Tamandua tetradactyla: one gene and its partners. The protein of the gene in region 2 purifies or fractionates together with the protein of the main gene of each other region. This does not show direct contact. Links are inferred from orthologs where the notes say so. Each region holds a gene or a part of one and is shown on either strand. Other genes may lie near its edges.

The links.
Region 1: the proteins of ATP1A1 (region 2) and HADHB fractionate together in Homo sapiens (co-fractionation; 3 studies listed by BioGRID, with this or other methods). This does not show direct contact. The link is inferred for Tamandua tetradactyla from reciprocal best matches to the Homo sapiens genes ATP1A1 and HADHB.
Region 3: the proteins of ATP1A1 (region 2) and VDAC1 fractionate together in Homo sapiens (co-fractionation; 3 studies listed by BioGRID, with this or other methods). This does not show direct contact. The link is inferred for Tamandua tetradactyla from reciprocal best matches to the Homo sapiens genes ATP1A1 and VDAC1.

Annotation. Positions count from the first base shown.
Region 1 is NC_135329.1:9,960,608-9,968,377, forward strand, and holds the start of HADHB (trifunctional enzyme subunit beta, mitochondrial), read left to right. Parts: upstream 1-4,763; coding exon 4,764-5,043; intron 5,044-5,109; exon of another isoform or gene 5,110-5,585; intron 5,586-7,770. Other genes in the region: HADHA (trifunctional enzyme subunit alpha, mitochondrial), read right to left, coding at 4,576-4,813. UniProt on the Homo sapiens protein: Mitochondrial trifunctional enzyme catalyzes the last three of the four reactions of the mitochondrial beta-oxidation pathway.
Region 2 is NC_135337.1:4,654,003-4,661,100, forward strand, and holds the start of ATP1A1 (sodium/potassium-transporting ATPase subunit alpha-1), read right to left. Parts: upstream 3,044-7,098; 5' UTR 2,893-3,043; coding exon 2,881-2,892; intron 1-2,880. UniProt on the Homo sapiens protein: This is the catalytic component of the active enzyme, which catalyzes the hydrolysis of ATP coupled with the exchange of sodium and potassium ions across the plasma membrane.
Region 3 is NC_135346.1:13,052,832-13,060,440, forward strand, and holds the start of VDAC1 (non-selective voltage-gated ion channel VDAC1), read right to left. Parts: upstream 3,013-7,609; 5' UTR 2,994-3,012; intron 2,982-2,993; exon of another isoform or gene 2,889-2,981; intron 1,566-2,888; exon of another isoform or gene 1,478-1,565; intron 1-1,477. UniProt on the Homo sapiens protein: Non-selective voltage-gated ion channel that mediates the transport of anions and cations through the mitochondrion outer membrane and plasma membrane.

The DNA of each region.
Region 1 (7,770 bases), on a different chromosome or scaffold from region 2:
GGTGCCACCTGGGCTGAATGGAGACCTGATATAATTTCAGCCAGGGCCACTGGTCTCATTGCTCATTGAAAGATACCAAATCTGGGGCTGGGGGATGGACAGTGTTCATCTCTGCATAGACCCTGTTAGATCTGGTAGCCCCTAGACTCCCACTTTGGATGATCGTGGGCTGTGGAACTGGGTATTTCAACTTTCCCTGACTACAGCCAACCTGGAAATGTCTAGTCACAGCATTGTTTGGCTGGCTTCCTCAGTCTCATCTCTCTGGTTGTGGACGCCTGAGGTCTCTGGGACCTCATGAGGGAAGGGTAGCAATATCAGGACCCAAACAAGCCTACTTTGCTGGCTGGCTGTCAAGACAGGAACCACTCTGGGTCTCCCCCTCCTCCCCAGGAAAGGCCCCAAAGTTTCTGCCAAAAAAGACCAGGCACCCATAGCAGCCTGTCTTAGGAGTAGGAAACAGTTACTAGACCCTGACCAACTGGTCTTTGTGGGCAGGGAAAGCAAGTGTGCTGGCTTCCAAGTTCCCCAAGGGAACTCCTGGCTGTGGAGCTGCGAGGGGAGATTTAACAAGGCAGCAGTAGGCTGGAATAATTACCACGCATACTCACCCCACTCTCTCTGTACCAATTTCTCTGCTTTTTCATTCAGGGCTTCCCTATACAGGGTAGAAGACTGTCTCTGGTCACTACCTCCTTGGAACCACTGTCCCAGTCATTTTTTTCTGTACCATTTCTCATTGCATGGAGCCGGAGTGAACTCTGCCTCTCCTATTCTGCCAAGTCCCTGTATTTACATATCATGTCATCTTTATTTACTTCTTTGTCTCTGTATCATGGCTCCAATCTTTTCCACATAGTCTTTTCTTCAGATTCTAATCTAAAACAATTTTTCCCTTCTCTGTCTGCATTTTGATCTTTATTATTTACTGTTTTGTTCTGTAATCTCTGCATCTGTAGCAGGTGTTTCCCCCAATTAAACTGTAATCTCTTCCAACAGGCTCTTGTAGTCATTCAGTCAACAAAAACAATTGTTGTGGCCTACCATGTGCCATTCATTGTTCTAGGCACTTGGAGAGAATCAGAAGACAAAAATCCCTGTCTTTATAGAGCTTACATTCTAGGCCAGGAAGGGATACAGTATCTGGGGAGAATCAGTTCCTACTTAGTAGAGATAAATGAATGGGTGAAAACAGACCTGGAAAGAATGGAAATTGCTTATAATGTAGTAGAAATTCCAATGGGAGGGAAAGCAGGGAATAGGTAATTCTAGCTAGAGCCAGAGTAAAGTGGATGAGAGTGGGAGAGGACTGGTTGAGAATGAAAGTTGGGAGGGATGGGTGCAATAATACAGACCAAGAAACATAAGAAATGATAGATATGTAAAAAAAATATGTGACAAGATAAGCCCCTAAACAAAGAAAAGAAAATACAGCAGGTATACGGGTTTGGGCAACGGTTGCCATTTTAAAGATTAAATATTGGAAATGACTGGTTGCTCAATAGCCTACCATAGTTTAAAACCTTTAAACCTACCTGCTAAGCTATTTTTGTAGTCTAAGCATGCATGTGCACACGTACACTGTGGTCAGGTTCATGTGTCAACTTGGCCAGGTGGTGGTGCCCAGTTGTCTGGTCAGAAAAGTGCTAGGCTGTCTGTTGCTGTAAGGACATTTCATGAACTTAAATCCTGACCACATTGGCTGCACAACGGGAGTGTCTTCTGCAATGAGTGACGCTTAATCTAATCACCAGAAGGCTTTTAAGGAGGATTCAAAAGAGACAATCACTCTGCTTCAGCCAGCCAGCCTCTCCTGAAAGTTCGTTGAGGACCTTCATTGGAGCTGTCAGCTCATGGCCTGTGTTACAGATCTTACTTACATCCCCATGGTTTTGTGAGACACTTATAAATTTCACATTTACAGATTTCTCCTGCTGATTCTGTTTCTCTAGAGAATCTTAGCTAATATACAAATGTTCCTCTAAATCAATAGAGACAAAAATACAGAAACCAGTAGATATACAAACTTATTTGGAAAAGAATTTCAAACCAGAGTAAATGAAATCAACTCAGAGTTCAAAGTAGCTTTGCTTTTGGATCCCAAATCAGCAGAGCTCACCTTACAGCAATTCGTGAACTTCAGCCTACATCTACTGTTGCCAGCCAGTGAGAGTAACCTTTGATCTACTTTCTAATCATCTTTGTCATTTAGCTCAAGGAAATAACTACAACACATTATAAGACTAGAATCAGTGGAGACAGATGGATTATACTGGCACAAATTTCAAATTTGAAAATGTTACTTTGGTTGTAGTAACCTACAGATTTTTTCAAAATCCAACCCTGGGAAAAGGGTGGGATTAGGGAAGTGAGTCAAGTTTAAATATACAGCATGTGCTGAGGACTAAGTAAGGTATTTGCATCCAATTACATGACATTTCCTATTAAATTATTTCATAGCTCACATAATTGGGGATTTAGGTTGCGGAGAGGGGGAATTAGACAAGGTATTTTTTTCTAGATGTGACTCATCTGACAATCAAATTGAGAATTACAGTACTGGTAGAGGAGGAATGAGTTAAAACTTCAAGAACTACAAGTCTAGTTCATAAAATTTAATCATCTACTAGTAAATGCCATATCTCATTAAATGTCTGGCAATATCTTGGCACAGACTTTAAGGGGAAGAAATCAATCTACTGAGTCTAAATGGCAATTCAGGTGTGCAGGTAACTTTAAATTCACCTACTAAGCAATTTTCCAAAATTTATAAATTGCTATCAAAACGACAGTAACTATAATAAGCCACTTTCTAACTGGTGAAAACATGATACAAAAAAAATGTTTATATATGTGCATACCTTACCTCCATACCGAAAATATGGCACAACTAAAGTTGCAACTGTTTATTACACATTTTTAAATTGTAGAAGTTACTTTAAAAAAATCCCAGATATACAAAAATCATAGTTCTTCAGGGCTGTAAAGAGTTAACAATAGTTAACATTTACTGAGCACCTACTCCATGAAAAACTGATTAACATTTAAAAAACTCCTTTAGATTTCTAAACAACCTTGTAAGGAGGTATTTTTTAACCACATTTTTTACAGATGAGAAAAGAGATAAAGAAATTGCCCAAGGTCGTGAGAGAGTAAATGCCAGCTTTAAATTCAGAAGACAGAGGCCAAATTTCATGCTTTTCTCTGTCAAACTACTTCTCAAGTAAAAGAAAACCCACAGTCTCATCCATTCATTTTACAGATGAGGAAAATAGAGCCTGCTTAGATTATGAAATCTGTCCCAAATCACACAACTAATTAATGAAAGGGTCGTGATGCTAGAAACCAGGTTACCTGACTACCAGTTCAGTGTTACAACAGCTGTCAACCCATAAGAAGTACCTCAAAACCAATGCAGGTGTAAGCTCATACATACAATCTGATTTTTATAAAGTGTTAAAACATAAAAGTGGGAAACAGAAAAAAAATCTGTAAGGAAGGATGACAAAATGCTAACATGTGAGTAGCAAGTGAACAGGTAATTTATTTTTAACCCTGTTTCTGAGCTTTACACTTCAATTTCTGTAATAATGTAGTTATACTATGATTGGTACACACACATCAGTGAGAATGCTCCTGTGGAGACTAAAAACAACGGGAGAAATGAGAAAGCAGAAAAAGATTGAATCAGCCAAAATGAATCCCTCTTAAGTAAGGGGAAATTCAGCTACCAGCCTTAAAGACAAGCTAAGAAGGAAGTGGGAATATATATGATAATTTAACAATTTAAATAATTGGTATTAGGCACAGCATCTCACATCTCACGTGACAGGTTTGAGAAGGGAGAGAAATGCTTAGTTTCTCCCATCACCCACCTTAACCCTTCCACTGCCAATTTGAAGAGAAAAGATAACAGCAAATGCAGGCTGACAGGGAAGTGTCAGAAACAAGATCAGAAAAGGTACATAAAATTATCTAACGCTTTATTTTCTAAGTTACAGGACATCTGAGCATTAAATTAAAAAGTTGCTTCTTTTCCAGCAAGTTGCTGAACCTCCTGTTGAAATTCAACATACCATACATACGTTTACACTAGGATTGACAGAACTGGGCAAGAGCTGAGCTCCATCGAAAAGCGGTAATAAGTACTAAAGTGGTTTGACAACAAAGGAGAAGGGAGCGGCAGTAACCTGTCACGCCGGTTACGGGAAGGTGCTGTGAAGACGCCAAGATGTGAGAGACCGGGGATGCCCGTTCTTCTGGACCCGGATCCAGTAGGAAGGGCGTGAACCCCGAAGTGCGACGCGGGAGATCTGCGGAAAATTCCGGCACCGGGTGGGAAGGACTCAGAAAGTTAGGGGTTACGGAGCCTGGAAGCCCCACGGCGCTGGGTGTCGTGGGAGAGGAAGCCGCAATCCCTTCACAGGGACGCAGGGGCCCGGCGTCCACCCCAAGCACTGGAAGGCCCAGGCGGGGGCGGGGAGACGCCGGCTAGCCCGAGACGCGGTTCCGGGGCCGCCCCAGGCCGGGCAGGAGTTCTGCCCGGGCTGCAGAGCGCCCTCCGCCAGGCCTCACCTGGGGAGCGAAGAGTCCTAGAGGAAGTGAAGCGGCTGAGGCTGCCAATTGCCCGGGACGCCACCATCTTGCACGGAAAAGGACGAAAGTAGAAAGCGCTTCCAGCGGGGGCGGCTGAGCAGAGGACTTTTCCCCCAAGCAGCGTGGTCCCTGCCAGGCGTCCGCCGTACTGCCTGACTAAAACCCAGATGCCGAGGTGCCGTCCGCCCCGCGACCCTGCCCTTCGCTCCCGGTACATGAGGCGAAAAGGGCGTTCTCCTCGTCAGGGAAAGAGGCCGGTCGAGGAAGGGGCGAGGAGCCGCCGTTCCAGTCAGGCATCCGGCGGGCAGCCCGCGAAGCCCGTGGGCGGGGCGCGGAGGGGTCCTTTCAAACAGGCCCCGCCCCTTGGCCCCACAGACTCTAGACGCTTGGGTCCGAATTTTACCCGGAGTCGGGGCCGCAGTGGAGTCGGAGCGGGCGAGAGCAAAGGTGGGACTATGTTTGCGTTCGGGTTTCCGCCTGAGTTTCTTCCCGGGCGACAGCCGCACTTCCTTTCCTTTCGCCAGACCCGAGACCTGTGGCCGCCGGCCAGAAGGCTTCTCTCCCTGTGAGGCTAGTATTCCGGCGAGCGGAAGGAAGCGCCCCGACTGGGCGTGCTGTAGCCGGAGCGACTAGTACTGGGGCAGTAACTTGGGCTAGCCTTCTAATTGTACTGTGGGCAGTAGTGTCACCTGTGTCTTTTAGTTTATCACCGCAAGTTAGCCAACAGTTTGTCGGCATACAAACCTACTTTGGAGTGTTTACTATTCACCTGTAGCCAGGTCAGCGGCCTTAGAGCTCCTGAAGGGGACCACGGGTCTACCCCGTTTTCTGCTTCAAAGGGTGGAGCTCGGCCCTGTGTCCTTTCGGGACTCGAGTGTGGGAGGAGCTGAGACATTTCGCCCTCCTCCTCGGAGATGGATAATGCAGGGGAATTTTCAAATCTGTGAGAGACCTGGTATCATCGGTCATTCACCCCCTTCACTCGATCGGTAAGGAAACTGAAGCCCCCAAATCAGACTGAGTAATTTTATCCAAGGTCACAGGTGGTAGAAATAAGACTAGAACCTAGGTCTCCTAGTTTCCAGCCGAGACGCTGCTTGCTCCGGTGCTCCAGAGTCCTGTTAGAGATGAGACGATTCAAGCCAAAAGGAAATAATTTTGAGGGCCTGTTGTGCTTCAGTCACTTTCCTCCCATTCCATTTAATTCTTATGAACCTAGGCTTATTTGCATTTTTCTAGCTAAAGTTTGGGAGGTTCCGAGAAGAGTAGATAAATTTTTTTGATTTCAGATATAAATCTGAGACTCACTGCTTACCAGATTGATGTCTGGCAAGAGAGACAGCAAGAGGGGCCAGCGGGCGGGAAAAATGGCAGGGAAATTGAGGCTGAAACAAGTATAAAAAAAAAGAAGAGAGATTTCTGTTAAAACTCAAGTCAAATAGTGAGTCCCCCATCATTGTGTACTTTTTAAGTAGAAACTGGATATGACCAGTGATCACCTTGTAGGAAATTGTAAAAAGGATTTTAATGACCTCCAAAGGCCCTCCAACTTAAAAGATTTTTTTGCCACCCCTCATCTAAATAATAAGTGCTTCATGGAATGAGGTACTGAAGAGAGCATTGTGTGGGCAGGAGACAGGACTTGAACTGTAAAAAAATCTTTTTAAAATAGTTTAGGCTTTGGAGGCCTGCATAGGGCTCTGTCATGTTCTTTTTTGTTTTGTTTTACAGCCCTTTAAAAATATATAAAACTGTTCTAAGGTGGAAGCCCATGGACTGTAGTTTGGCAACCCTTGATTTAGATCACCCTTTTGCCTCTTGATTTTTTTATGCCTTGCACTCTCAGCAAAATCGTAAGCTCCATTGGGGCAAAAATGTCCTGTTTCTTTGATCCTTAATACTTAAGAAAGATGGCTTGTACAGAGCAGAAACTAAGTACATTTATAGCACTGTCACTACCTCCTAAAAGTAACAACAGACCCACATATAACTCTTACTATGTATCAGGCACTGTTCTAAATTAATCTTTGCAGTAGCCCTATGAGGTAAGAACTGCAATTAGTTGGGATCCTAAGGCAGAGAAAGGGTGGAGTCAGTATTTCAGTTAAGGCAATCTGGCTTCAGAGTCTGTGCTCTTAACCGTTACGTTGTGTCTTAATGCTTTTTGAAATTATGGCTCTAACAAGAGCCATCCCATCTTGTTTCAGAACTTGCCCAGCCCTTTCTTCCTTTCCTTGCTCCAGGTGCCCGCAACTTTAAGCGTTTTTCCATGCTTCCACACCCTACAAAGCCTACCTACCCTGGAGTTTCCATGCTTCAAAAATCCTCGAGTCAAAATTTTTCGCTGTTTAGATGTTTTAAATGTTTATATAATCAGATCTGTTATTTTTAGAAAGTTTTGATATCTATTAAAGCAAGGTGTCTTTTTTTCTTTTTCAAAATGTCCTTGATTATTTTCATGAGTTTTATTTCAAGATGACCTTTGCTTAAGAGAATTTGTATCCTAGATTCATGTAGAATCATCCGTATCTTCTAGAAACCATGGTATCTTATGGGCTTCTTTGTCTCCTTGGCTGGAGTTCCTGTATACCTATAGGCTGCTGAGCCTAGAATTTGGATTCGGCCACTGCTTTCCAATGTGAAACATGTGATTTTCTTCATTTTTCTTCTTTTTGGTGTGGTGGTGATTTATAAGGCAGTTTTAATGAGATATTTTCACATACCATACACTCCATCCAGTGTGCACAATTAGTGGCTTTTAGTATAATCACAGAGTTGTGCGTTCATTGCCACGATCCATTTTAGAACATTTTTATTACTCCAAAAAGAAAAACCTCAAACCCCTTAGCAGTCACCTTTCAAGCTCTCTGTCCTGTCCTGGCACTATGTAATCACTAATCTAATTCTGTCTCTATAGATTTATTTATACTTAATTTTATATAAATGGAATCATGCAATATGTAGTACTTTGTGTCTGATTTTTTCCACTTAGCATAATGTTTTTAAATTATTATTGTTTTTTAATTACAGAAGTTGTAGGTTTACGAGAAAGTCATATTAAAAAATACAGCGTTCTTCTATACTCCCCTATTGTTGAAACTTTGTATTAGTATGGTACCTTTGTTACAATAGATCAGAGGACATTAAAATATTACTGTTAACTATAGTCCATAG
Region 2 (7,098 bases):
CTTTTTTCTCTGTCCCTCTTTAAATCACTACTCATAAGCTATGATTTATTTTCTAGGCAACTAAGTTAATATTCAAACTGAATCAAGAACTGCCCTGAGAGATTTGGTGACACTTCCCTTCCCCCACTCTTTCTAAGCTTGAGGAGAGTTTCTTACAATTTTGAATAATTATGATGCTTACCTTTGGTGAGCTAACTAGCTGTGGGTGGTAGGCCTAACTGAAGATTTAAGCCAAGTTACTGGCAAAAATACCCAGTAAAAAAAAAAAAAAAAAAGGACAAAATCCTATTTCATCCAGGAATGATTCAGCAAGAGCTGTTCTTTCATTTGCTTACCAGAAGCTGGGGGACTGATTTTTTTTAACAGACATAGAATTACCTGCAATATCATTCAAACCTAGGTCCCAAACTGTAGTAGGAGCAGGAGGGAAAGAAATTTACAATGACCTTAAAAATTAGCTGCCAGCACAGGCTTCCTGGTTAACCAATTATCAGCAGGGCTTTAGTCACCACTCCACCCACGTTTTAATCCCCATGTGGAAAAATCCCAACATTTCAGCGTGAAATATCTTCCTGAACATTTGGACTATCACAGTAAGTCACTGGGGACAAAAGGGGCAACTTTATCCTGGAAGAATCTTTACCAACACCAAACACACACACACACACACACACACGCAACTTGATGTTCAATGTATCAGCGTTCTCAGAATACTAAATACAACCCAGGAGACAAGCATATCATCCTGTGTTAACCCAGTTGTACTTCAATTTTGCGTTTACTAGCCAACAAACATTTTGTGGTAATAAGACATTCTCCACTAACTACCTGAGTTTGTTGCTATTTTTGCCACTACTGTACCTGTGTGGTTATGGGAGAGACATACAGACATAACTTACCTGAACACCATCAACGTGGCCCATTAATTAAAAAAGCACAAAAACCCCAGTTTCATTGGAGAGATATTTAGAGATCTGCATATGAGGCTATGTTCAGCAGTAAACGTCAAGTCATGCTTGCAGAGACTAGGGGACCATTCAGGAATTCAGGCCTTCTGGGCTGTCACTAACCCATTAACCAGCTGCTTGACCTTGAGCAAGCCAGTTCACCTTCCTAGGCCTCAGGCACTTATCTACCTCCTACCTCCTCCCCCGTCAGTGATGTCTCCTCCCTCCGGAAATAAGCTTTTAAAGGGAGAAAATATAAAAGAATGAGCTTGAAAAAGCTTGTTTACAAGAATGACCTACAGTTTGATGGGGTGGTCCAGGCATAGGCCGCTAACCCAATTACCATCGGGAAAATACAGACGCTTTGCCCTAATGCTGCCTGGCTAGTGCCAGCTCTCAACATCTTGCGCTTTTCAAGGAGAGACAAGTTGTGCATTTCCACCTCTCCCTCCCAGGTCCAAGCCTTTCAATCACCACCTTCAAAACCCATTTAGAGTCCCCAAAGAATGCGGCCCTCCCCTTGGCCCCATCCCTAATCCATACCCAGGGGCCCCAAAGACCTACTAAGTGCAGGGCATGTGCTAAGAATAAGCCCCGGAGATAACGGAGAAGGATCCTATGCCACCAGCAGTCTCAAGACTTGGTCATTTTTATTTCGTGAACTGATACATTTAAGAGGATATATATTTTTTTGTCAAGTGGATCCTAACTAGACATTGTCTCCTTCGGGGCCGGAACCGGTCTTCTGCGGCCACGAGTGATCAGGGCTTTGCGCTACAGAAAGGCAGGAAGGTGATGTTGTTATGGTATTCCCACGGTGCTCCTGCCCTGGAGACCACTCACTTCCTTTGGGGACCGCCCTTCGGTGAGTCGGCTGGAGCCTGCAGGAGCATTCCTACCAAAGTACAAACGGGCTGCCCTGGGCCTCGGGTCCTTTTTGGGGTCTTATTTTATCCGGAGGCCCCGGTGGTTTTGCCTGTCCTCCGCCAAGGCACATCCTTGCAAAAAATTAACACCCCTCCAGTCAAGAGGTTCAGCTGACAATTCCAGCTGCCCGGACGCATCTAGTATTTATGGAAAGTGGCCCATTAAAGCGCTCAAAAGTATACCTTCAAGGGCCATCTTAGGGCGCTGGAGACACACCCTTTCTGGCACTAGCCCGCTCGACCGGCTCCGCAGTAAGTAAGGGGAAGCCAGTTTTTTTTTGGTTTTGTTTTTTTGTTGTTGTTGTTTCTTCCTTTGGGGGAGGCGGACGCCTCTGCGGGGAGCTGGCTAAGCCCCAGCACCTTCAGGAGAAGGAGCCTCGACCCCGCGCAGCTGTCCCCCGGCGCGGGGGACCCCGACGGCGCCCGGCCCTCGGCGGGAACCGCAGCCCGGGAGGCCACCCAACCCCGAGCCGGGCGCCCGGCGCAGCGCCCCAGGGGAAAGGGAGGGGCGCGCCTCTCCTCCCGGCACGGAGGGCGGAGGGCAAAAAGGAAGAAGAGATGGGAGGTGAAGGCGGGCGGAGGGAGGGAGGGGATCCGGGCTCGGGGATGCTGCCGGCCGCCGGCTCCCTCCCGGGGCCACCCATCTGCCGCTCGCCCTCCTCCTCCCCCACCCCCCAGCCCCGGCGCCGGGACCCCCGCCCGCTCCGCGCTCGGCGTGCGCAGCCCCTCTCCGGGCTCCACGAGCCCCTCGGGGGTCTCCACGCCGCCCCGCGCTCCCTTTGCCCCTCACCCCATTACAGCGCTCCCCCCCTCCGTTTGCAAAGTGCGTCGTCTTTTAAGCCTCAGGGCTTTGCCAACCCGTACCGCGCCGCGCTGCTTCCTCCTCCTCCTCCTCCTCCTCCTCCTCAGCCGCCGCCGCCGCTCCGCCCGGCCCGCCGTCCTCCTGACTTCCCCCTCCTCTCCTCCAGGCTTCCCGCGCCCCCTCCTCAAGCTCGCCCGACACTTACCCCCTTCCCCATGGTGGCGGTGGTGTGCGCCCGGCGCCGGCCCCGGCAACTGGAGAATCAAAAGAGAAAAGGAAAGAGCAGCTCCCGGCCGAGCGAGCCGGGCCGGGGGAGCGCAGAGGAGGCAACTAGGGCTGCCGCGGGGCGGGAGGGAGCGAGCGCGGCCGGCGGCTCGGGCCGAGGCCGCCGCCGGGGCTGCTGAGGCTGCTGCTGCCACGTGTCCGCCTCCTCCCGCCGCTGCTCCGAGCCCCAGACCCCGCCGCAGCTCGAGCCCGCGCCTCCTCCTCACTTCCTAAAATATGCAACCTGCGTGCTGGCCCCGCCCACGCCGCGGCACGTCACCGTTACCGGAGCAACCCGACACCGGCCTCGCGCCCGGCCCCGCCCCCGCCCAAGCCCCACCCCCAGCCCGGGGGCGCGCCGGCTGCGGCCGGGCCCGGCCCGCGGCGGGAGGGCGGCGGGGCCTGGGGGAGCGCGGGCCCGCGTCCCGGGAGGCCGCGCTCGCGCCGGGGGAGCGTCTGCGGGCCCAGCGCCCGAGCGCGGCTGCCGTGCGGCGCCCACGCCCCTCCGCCCGCCGCTGTCTGTGGCTGGCCCGGCTGCTTTGTAGGGCACAGGAGGTCCACGCTGGGTGCGGCCGTGTTCTCGGGACCTGGGTTCCCCCAATCTCTGCGGACTGGGGCAGAAACGGCGCGCGGAGTGGCTTTTCCAGCACATGTGGGAGCTCCTCTGGCCCCAGGGGACGCGCCGGGGACGCTGCGTGCAGCCTGCGCCGGCCGGAGGGACTCCGCCTCCCCCGGAGTCCAGGCCCAGCGCCCACCTGCGCCGCTCTGCGCTGGCCTGGCCGGAGGTCCTCGGCGCCCCCCTCCAACTTCCTTGCTTCAGGGTCCCGAAGTGCCAATCTAAAGGGTGTCTAATGAATTCATTCATGCTATTGTGTGAATGAAACCTACTAGTACAGTTTGCGGATTCGCTGTTTAGAGCAGGGAAATTTGAAACCCCGAAGAAAGCATATCTTAAGCAAAAGGGTCTGACTCCAGGGCTAGATGTTTAGGTACCAGTTTGGTTCATCTCCAACCCCCTGCTCCTACCTGAGGAGAGCAGTGTCATCTCCAGCGCAGCCTTGGAATGGTCTAGGAATGGTCTGGGGGGTGACGAGAGGCTCAAGAAGAGTCCCGCTCTCCACCCCTAGCCCGGGCGGGTTGCACCGCTGGGCTTCCCTCCCATTACAGCTTCTGTTTCTTAGCACAGGCTGCAATGGCTGAAGTTGATCAACATTAAAATATATATATTATTATTATTAACAGTGCTTTCAGAAAGTCAAGTACACTCTGGGAAAGCACAGGATTCGCAAGAGAAAGTCACTGCAAGCCTCTGAGAATTCCTAAGGAAAACATTAACTTCTTAAGCAAGTTAAAACTGGCTCTTTATCAACTTCAAGTATTAATTCAACATGAACAAATAAGGATGTGAAACAAAAGAAATGGGGAAAGGATCAGAAAGGAAAGGGGAAGGAAAGGAAACAAATGGGGGAGGAAAGGAAAGAAATGGGGAAGGGAAGGGGAGGAGACAAAAATTAGTCACTGCCTTATCAGTTAGATAATTCTCACCCCTTCCTAGAAGAAAGTGTTTCTTACAGCCCTTTCCTCTCACCCAAGAATATATTAGGTTTGGCGTCTCTTGCAGTGATCTACAGGCATGGTTAAATCAAGCCAGGACCTGGAGAGAAGAATTACAAAGTGAACTCAAAATCATGACTGCTGTGGTTAGAGTCCCCAAATCCAGAATAAAGTTCTTAACACTGCTAATTTAATAGAAGGTGTTTAGAGAGTGTTATCTGGGCTGTGTCTCCGAGGTTCCAGAAAATGCTTCATTTACATACCCTAAAGCCCTCTGTTACTGCTAGCCTGCAGGAGGCTTTTGCTTGCTAGAGATCTCTTAACTGCTTTGAGATTAATTATTCCTTGGGCCCTGGTCTGAATGGCAAAAGCACACAAAAGACAACAACAAAAAAAGTAGAAAGCAAAAGTCTGAACAATGTAAATTTCTCCTGCCAACTGATCTCCTTTCTCTCCCTTGGTATGTAAAATATTCATTCATTCAGCAATATAACCCTAATATATCAAGGCATTTCCCCTTGTCTCTGGAGCTGTTTACCTGGCAGCTGAAGGTTGATGAAGGTCCTTCCAGGAGGATCCCAGAGTTCTAGCTATGTTACAGGGTGGGGAAAAGGACATAAGAACTTGAAAACTATTAACTAAGATCTGTATTTGGCTTTAGGCTCCAGATAGCGATTTTGCATGTATTATTTACTTGGATTCTCATAAGTTTGCAAGGTAAAGGGCTTTGGCCGCACTTTACAAAATGAGAAACTGAAGGTCTGAGACTTCACAAGGTCACTGAGCTAATGATTGGGGTCATCTGGACTCAAAATATCAAAACTAGAACCATCCTCCTACTTCTGAAGTTTGGCCTCTAACCAAAGCACCAAGGAAGCTTTGGTTGGAGAAATAACAATAGCTTTCAAAATTGCAGTCTTCACAAATACAGAAGGTTTTCCTGGGCCGCTCATCTTTGATGACCAAAAGGATCTTGGCTACAGCCTTTCCTCCCTACTTTCTCCCATCCTTCACCAGTCTAGTTTGTGCAACATTGCAAGGAAGAGGTATCACTACCTAATAGAAATGGCCTAAGCAGATTAGCAAACACCCACCATCATCTGATCCCATCTCTAGAGGTGAATCCCATTCCATGTTTAGGGTGTTTGCTAATGCCATTTTCATTTCAGTCCTATCAAAAGAAACATAATTCAACGAAGACATTTCAGAAAACCAGAAAGGACCTCCCTATTGCTTCTCTAAAGCTGCATCTTTCCCTAAACACTACACCCACGTGCCATGGTCTAGACACTTCTGTTTAGTCTTCAGAGGTAGAGATTAACCCCAAGAACTGAGGACTAATTTTAAGAGGTTAAGGGGGAAAAAAATGAGAAAGAAGCAGGAGTTGCACGCTTTTTGTGCGAAAGGGTTATGGAAAGAATCCCCCCGGACAGGCCTGTGGAATTCAGAAAATGAGAAAGCATGGCCAGGACTCAGGTATAAACTGTCTCAGATACAAGAGAGATACCTTGGAACACAGTGACCAAAGAAGAAAATGTCCTTTATTATTTTTTTTGGGGGGGGGGCGGTGGGTATAGGCTTCTTCTCTTGGGAAAAGTTTCTGAATCGAACCCTTATTTTACAATGAAGAACTGAGTCCCAGGGAGTGATTGGCGCTGTATAATGGCAGGAATTTCATGCAGCTTTTCTAACTTCCAGACCAGAGCAAGGGATGATGGGGCTGCTAGTGGGGAGAAAGTTCTGCCTGTCTTCGATCTGCCTCTTTTCCTGTCAGCTCTTTTTAAGCTCTTAGTTTGAGGCATAATTAAATTGATTGTCCCAGAGACTCAGCATGTACAGACCTCAAGGCTGCCAAGTGTAGATGGCTTCGAGGAGGAGTTGACCAGAACTCTGGAGGGCTGGCCCAGCCATTGTGGAGACAGTCAGCAGATGTATGAAAAATATGATGCAAGTCAGTATTGAGAGCCAAGGATGCTGGCACTTTGAGCAAGTCCTCGCTGAATTGGATAAACACACCATTACAATTAAGGGCTTTAGAATATGAGTTGGAGCCCACCCCAAGTTAGCCTTTTCCATAGGAAGTAAAAAATTTGGGGAGATCAATGAGCTAGCGATCAGGAAGGACCAAAGTCTCTTTGCCCTCACTTGCCATACCAAATGTTTTCATTTTCCCTGAATAGCAGCAAATATATTACCTCCTGCTTAAAAAGCACAGGACTAGGCACAGCACTGATCATCAGAAATCTGTCAGCTGATAACAGGATTAAAATTTGCTTTGTCCTAAAGCACTTTCACTTCTATGGTTTCCTTTTTTTTTTTTTTTTTTCATTTTTAGAAACTTTTTATTTTGAAAATTTCAAACGTACCGGACAAATATAATGCGGACCTCAAACAGAGAACGCCTGCCTACCTGTCCCCCTGCTCCCAGATACCCAGATCCACCAATTTTAACATTTTGCCATATCATGCTATCTATCCACCCATCTATCTACCTATCTGTTTATCTATTATCAATCCATTTTCCAAACATTTGAGTTTAGGTTGCATACATCATGCTCCTTGAACACTTATTACTGCAAGTACGTTTCCTGAAAATAAGGACATT
Region 3 (7,609 bases), on a different chromosome or scaffold from region 2:
AGGCAGGGATGCATGGGGCCCACCATGCCCTGCAGGAGCTCAGTCAGTGGAGGGCTGAGGCAAAGAGAAAAAAAGGCAGGCTCCGGGCAGTCTGCCCTGGCAAAGGAGGCGCCCATTTCCTTATTCCCTCTGGGGGACGCTGGTCAAGAGGATGGGGGCCTCAGATGTGACAGACCTAGGCTAAACAGAGTCCACCTCTGCATTCAAGCTTCCTGCCCCGGCCCGACCTTATCAATCTATACAGGTACAGGATTTTTTGTGAATTTTGCTGAAATTTAATCAGTGCCTTGGCACACACGCTCGTTAATAATACAGCAATAACTATGTTTAAAATCACAGGGGTTATAAGGGGGGGCAACGGTGGCTCAGTGGCAGAATCCTCACCTGCTGTGCTGGAGACCCGGGTTCGATTCCCGGAGCCCATGCAAAAAAAAAAAAAAAAAACCACAGGGGCTACATTTACTGAGTTCTTTCCAGACTACTACTATGGAGCAAAGCACTCTGCAGCATCCTCCCAAAAAGCCTCAAGGGCTAGCGTCACGGTTTTTCCAAGGCTATTTCAGTGCCAGGCCCTGTCCTGAAAGCTTCGCGTTACTAACCACCTCATTTTATTCTTCCAAGAACCCCACGACGGAGAAACATAATTGCTCCCTTTTTACAAAAAAAAAAACTGAAGTCTGGTATTTTCCCAGTTGTGTGACCTTGGGCAAATCACTTGAGCTGCGGGTCTCAAATCCACAGTCTGGCCCCGCCGCGTTTGGTGAATGAATGAGCGACCGAGACAGGAATCCCTCTCAAGGCCACTGCAACCACGCGGCTCCGCTCCCGGCCTCTTCTTCCAAGGCCTACCCCCCCCCCCGCCCCCGCCCAGGCCCAAGCCCCTGTCCCTGCGGCCTAAGTCGACTCGGCCGCCCGTTCTGCCAGGAAAGGCGCTGGAACGCGCGAGCCGCGCCGCACGCCAGCTTCTTCGGGCGTGGGCCGAGCGGGTCGGGCCGGGCCAGGGGCGCGGGGCAGCAGGCGTCACACGCGGCTCATCACCAGGGCGGCAGCGTGGCCCGCGCAGGCCTCGGGCCTGAACTGGGGCGCGTGGGCGGCGGACAGGCCCCTGCCCGGCCCGCGCTGGCGGGCTCGAGGGCCAGAGGGCACCGCGAAGGAAGGTCACCTAGACCCGCGGCCGGCCGGGCCTCCACGCGACCGCCCGTGCCCTTCCGCCCCCATGTGCTCTGCAGCGCCCACGGCTCCGGACCCCCGGCCTCAGCACCCCGCCCGGGTCCGCCGGGCCCCCGACCGCGCGGCCTCCTCGGCCGGCTGCTGACCCGCCAGGCCCGCAGGGGCCACTCCGCACTCTCCCTCGGGCTTCCTGCTAGGCCCTTGGCCTTCGCGCGCTCCTCCCCCATCTCGCCCTCCCAACTCCCCCGGGCCCAGGCCCGCGGCACCCGGCGCAGGCGGAGACCGAGCCCTTCCCCGCGGCGCCTACCTCAGAGACGGAGGCGGCGGGCTCGGCGGCGGCTACGGCGGGGGCTGCGGCGCAGAGGAACCGAGCGAGCGGCGGGGCCGGGGCGGGGCGGCGCCGACGGCGGCGGCGCGGACCCGCCCCTACCCTGCGCACCCGGCCCGGCGTGCTCCGCCCCCAGGTCCCGCCCGGGCCGCCTCCCAGGCCCCAGCCCAGGTCTACGTCCGGCCCCCCAGCTGCGCTCTGACCTCAGCGGGTTTCTCCAAGCCCCGGGCGGACGCGTGTGTGGGCGCGCGTGAGTGCCTGCGTGCACGCGTGCACGGAACGACGGGGAGGGATGGCACCGACGTGCGCACGGTGTGTGCGTGCTCGGGGACATGCGTAGCGACCGCACGAGCGGGCCGGTCATTCCTGGAAATTTCCCGCCGGGTGGGGTCTTCCGGTTAGCTGAGCCGGGTTCCCGCGCTAAAGAAAGGCGCGCGGGGCTGCGGAGAGACGCTCCCCCTGGGAATTGACGTGGAAGGCGGCGCCTGGGTGGGAGGGGTGGCCCCCACGTGCCCCCCACAGACCCGCGCGGAGTGTAACGTCGGGGTTAGTCCCGGGCCGGCGGCCGCCACTGCCGCTCCTCGGCTCCGCGATCTGGACACAATGTTTCGGGCGCCTCTGACTGTCCCGTAAGCGGCATCCGATTCTCAGAGCCTTCCCCGTCCAGGGGCGAATCGCGGGGAAGGCTCCACCTGGCACGGAGTTCGCACTGCAAATTAGCAGGTTTTCCCCCTGTTTTCCCCTGTAGTACAGCTACTAGCAGCCATTTCCCGGGCCTTTGAGGAGTGAAAGAAGTAAATTGCATATTACAAGGATGGCGACTGCTGGGTCTTACTAAGCGCGAATGTCACCGCCCATTCCCACCCGCCGGTCGAGCGCCCCGCGGGGGACCCGCGTCCAGCCTGGGCCCGGCCTCCCCGCGGTACAATGTGCCTGGGGTGAATGACGCTCGTCTCCCCGCTAGACTTCGAGCGGGTAGTGACCGAAGCTGCCAACCGAGAGTCCCGCGGGAGCCTTTCCCACGCAGACTTCGAGGGTTGATGAACTCGTGGAGATTCTGCGCACCCTTCCCCTTCGGCCAGTAAATGTCCTTAACAGCGTTTGGAGCGCCGTGTTGGAGAAGCAGAGCTACAGAGTCAGAGCGCTGGTCACGGGCAGCTGTGGCATCCGCTAAAGCAGACGACAGCTGGGGCCAGCAAGCAGGCGGCAGATTCAATAGAAAAAGCGGCAACTCGGGTTAGAAGTGGTGTTCCTATGGAGGGAAGGGGGTGAGAAAGATGGGAACTGATACACAACAGCCCTAGGCCTTTTGGGGGCTCAGAGCCCCTCCGGGTCCTAGGGAGGGGAGGGGAGAACAGAGCCTAGGCCCCTCTCCAGGCCAGTGAGTTACCTCTTTGCTAACTGGAGCCTCAGGCTTGCCAAGTTGGCTGTCCCTACACAGGTCCCAGCCCACTCCCAGAGAGGGGCGGGCAGAGAAAGCTGCTGAGTCACTCACAGTGCACAGCGAGGCAGAGTTCCGCAGGCCAGGAAGGACTTCAGGGAAGCAGAGCGGAACCAGGTGGCCCTGAGGGAAGGCGGGGCTTGAGAAACCTTGCGCTGGTTAGCATAGGAGCTCAGCTGTGAAGCTGAAAGAAATTGTCTGAGATGCTTTCTCTCCCCTGGTATGTTCCCCACCACCCCATCTTGTTAGGGTCTTTAACCTGCCCCCACCTGCCCTGACGCCCTTCCACAGCTCCCCTAGGTGCTACTTTCAGGTTAATCCCTGCATGCTCTCAGAACTACTTAGTGGCTGTGGGACTCTGAGCAAGGAGCCCAACCTCTCAGAGCTTTAACTTCAGAGGATTGTTGCAAGCTTAAAATGAGACATGTAGCAAGAAAACATTGAAGAAACTCAGCTGGAACTGGCAGGGGCGTTGAAGACTTTGGTACCTAAATGCAGAGCCTTCTCTGACCAGGTGAAATCTCAGGGAAAACTCTCCGGTGCACCACGTTTGCACTGCAAATTAGCAGTTTTCCCCCATAGCAAAGCTCCTAGCAGCTATTTTTCCAGGTATTTGAGAAATGAAAGAAGTAAATTGCTTCTTGCAAAGCAGTTGGCTGCTAGGTCTCACGAAGCCTGTGAAGTTAGTCTTTTATACCAGGTCATAACACACGCACACAGACACACCTTAGCCACACCTCCTCCCTCCCTGCCACAGCTGATTGGCATTGGGGTGGGCATCTAATTCGGGCCCAGCCATCAGGTCCTCTCTTGCAAATGTGAGCTAAGAAACCCCAAGTCAGAGTGTGTTTCTTCCTGTCCTTGGGTTTCCTTGTGCCACTTCGATAACACTCCTTGAGCTTGACCCGGCCAGGGTGCAGTTCTCCCAGCAGAACACCTGAGTTCCTAGATGGTAACTGAAGGGGGTTGTGGGGACTAGTCAGCCCTGACCACAGTTTTTCTTTGGGCAAATGACCCTTATTCCCCTCTTCACAGTCCACAAGCTGCAATGGAGCTCACCGCATCCCTGACTCCAGGGCCATTCTTCAGGTCGCCACGTGGCTCGCCCTGGCCAGTGCAGTACTGCTCGCCCTGGCTACAGGGAGGGACCAACGAGACCAGTAAGACTTTTCTCAGGGCTGTTGAGAGAAAGACTTCCCCTGAAAGTGATGCCAGCCCACAAGACAGAGGCAGAGCTCAAGTCCTGGGGACATGATGCTCCTGGAGCCAGCCAGGTATAAAGATGCACCCTGTGCTTTCCAGCCACCTGAGCCAATCAATTCCCTTTTTGCTTAGCCCACCTTGGGTTGAGTTTTCTTCCAAGTCCTAATTCAGTTCTCCTCTCTTCAAACAAAACATAGTACAGCAGTCAGGGAAGATCTTTCTTTTATTTTTAACATTGAAATGGGTTACCAGAGTAAGAATACTTTATTGTAAGGAAGTTCTTTCTTATATCTAGCAGTCATAGGGCTTCTACTGAAGATATCTATCAAGGTGGAGAGCAGCCAATCACCTTCCTAAGAACCTGACCCCTTCCCACCTGTGCTGATTTAAAACTATCATGTACCCCAGAAAAGCCAGTGTTATTTAATCCAGTCTTGTAGGAGCGGACCTGTTGTAGGGTGTGACCTTTTGATTTGATTCTTTACCGGAGTCCTTAAAGGAGCTCACAGAGAGGAAGAGTTCAGAGCTGACAAGAGAGCAGAGATCTAAAACCAGACACAGACATTTGGCAATGTAGAAGATGCCAGAAGCCCCAGGAGAGATGAGAAGCTGAGAGAGACATTTGAAACCAGAAGCCAGGAGAGGACAGCAGATGTCACCATGTATCTTCCCCTGTGACAGAGAAACCCTGGACACCATTAGCCTTTTTTTCAGAGTTAAGGTATCCTTATCTGGATGCCTTAATTTGGACGTTTTCATGTCCTTAGGACTATAAACTTGTAACCTGATAAATACGTTTGTAAAAGCCAATCCATTTCTGTTATATTGCATTCCAGAAGCGTTAGCAAACCGAGACAGCACCCTTCTTTCAGGGCCAAAGGTCCTGGTACCACAACATGATTTCTTAGCGTGGTCCATGGATGAGCTCCGTGAAGGCAGAAATGGAAGGTGCAACTTATATAAATGGTTATTTAAAGAGAAAAAATTTTCTGCTTGTAACCAGCATCAATTAGTTTTATTACAAAACTGAATTGTTATAAAACCTAACCTTTCTGACCGTTTTCCAGAAAAGTCATCAGACCTGAATATGGGTAGGAGGAGTCAGAATTGAGGATTTGTGGTCAAGGATGTCAGCTCACACATCCCATAGTGTGTTCTGACCCTCATCATCCGAGCAAGGACCCAGCACCCAGGTTCTGAGTGACGTGGAGAGCAGTGACCAACTGGGGAAACAGGATGGAATTCATCCCAAGATGAGGACAATAAAAAATTTTCTCATCCGTATGCAACAACTGGTGACGTCCCAGGTCTAAAATAGTTCAAAGAAATTTCAACATCATCTTCCTGGATTTTAAATTATGTATATATAAAGGAGGAGAAGAGGGAAAAAATGGAAAGAAATTTAATATTAATAAAAATTGTAGCTTCAATTTATGTGACTATGAATGATTTTTTTCCTTTGGTCTTTCCTATATATCCCAAATACTCTTTAATGAGTGTATAATACCATCATTATAAAAATAAAGAACTTTTTATTTAATTTTTGAAAAGCCAAAGAGCTTGTATAAATAGATACAATCTTCTGGAAAGCAATTAGGCGATAAGTAATAAGAATTATAAGTCCGTTCTACCCACGAGAGGCTGCGCGAAAGCAATAATCGTAAGAATAGGTGGTCATGGGTTTTTTTGTTTGTTTTGGGGTGTGTGGGCTGGGAATTGAACCCGGGTCTCCCGCATGCTGGGAAGCATTCTAGCACTGAACCATCTGTGCACCCAATAATTCTAAGTATGGGAAATGCCAGCTGCAAAACGATGTATAGTAGTCCAGGATGGAATACAGCCTGGTTTCCAGCTTGAGCAAATTGAAGCACATCCCCTCCCTGGGATGGATGTGCACATCTCATTCACAGCCTTGAGAAAATATGGTTACAAAGACTTCACATGGGAAAAAAATCCTGCTACAATGTTAATTGAAGGCAATCTTATATTCAGTATTACTGCAACCACAGCATTAAAAATGTAGAGGTGAACTGCCGTAGAGAATAATGGCACACACCCCCCCCCCCATAAAATTGTTGTACTAATTTCCTATGGCTGCCGTAACAAAGTATGGCAACAGAAATGTATTGTCTGGACGACTTGAAGCAATAGAAATGTATCATCACACAATTCTGGATGCTAGAAGCCCAAAATCAAAGCATGAGCAGGGCAATGCGCCCTCTGAAGGCTCCTAGGAAGAATTCTTCCTTGCCTCTTCCAGCTTCTGGTAACCCCGAAGTGTTCTTTGGCTTGTGGGCGCATCACTCCATCAGTCTCTATCTTGACATGTCTGTGTCTTCTCTTATAAGGAAGACTGATTTAGGGCCCGCCCTAAATCCAAGATGATTTCATCTCAGATCCTTAACTAATTACATCTGCAAAAGCCCTATTTCCAAATAAAAGTCTCTCTAAAAAAACGCTCATGGTAATGAATACACAACTATGTGATGATATTGTGAGCCATCGATTGTACACCAAGTGTGGAATGCACGGGTGTGAAGATTTCTCAATTAAAAAAAAGAAAAGAAGGTCTCATTCTAAAGGTCCGAGGGATATGAATTTCAGGAAGACACTAACCAACCCGCTGCATCCTAGTCTACGTCCTAGTCTCTGGAACCTATGAGTATGTTACAGCACATGTCTAAAGGGTCTTTGCAGATGAGTTTGCTTTTAAGGATTTGGGGATGAGGAGAGTATCCTGGATTACCCAGGTGGGCCCAGTGAAGGCACAAGTTTTCTTCCAAGAAAAAGGCAAGAAGGTCAGAACCATAAAAGGAGACATGACTAAAGGAGAGGGAGAGAAGATGCAATGACAGAAGCAGAGGTCAGAGAGAGAGACATCTGAAGATGCTACACTGTTGCTGTGCCCCCCCCCCCCTTAGAGTCCCCACAGGAAGGAGCCCTACCACTCCCTTGACTTTATCCCAGTGAGCCTGATTTTGGACTTCTGACCTCCAGAGCTGTAAAATAATACATCTGTGTTATTTCAAGCCACTGTGTTTGTAGTAATTTGTTACAACTGCAATAGAAAATTAATACACAACCCCCTGGAAGATGATACTATAATGACTTCTTTTTTAGAAAATATTTTTATTGAGAAATAGCCACACACGTACAGTCCAACCATAAAATGCAATCAGTGGCTCACAATATCATCACACCATTGTGTATTCTTCACCATGATCATTTTTAGAACATTTGCATCACTCCAGAAAAAGAAATTAAAAGAAAAAAAAACTCATACATCCTATACCCCTTACCTGTCCCTCTCATTGACCCACAGTATTTCAATCTACCCATTTTTACCCTTTATCTCCCCCCATTATTTATGTTTTATCCTTTTTTTTAACTCATCTGTCCATACCCTGGATAATAGCATCAGACACAAGGTTTTTACAATCACGTGGTCACATTGTAAAAGCTATATA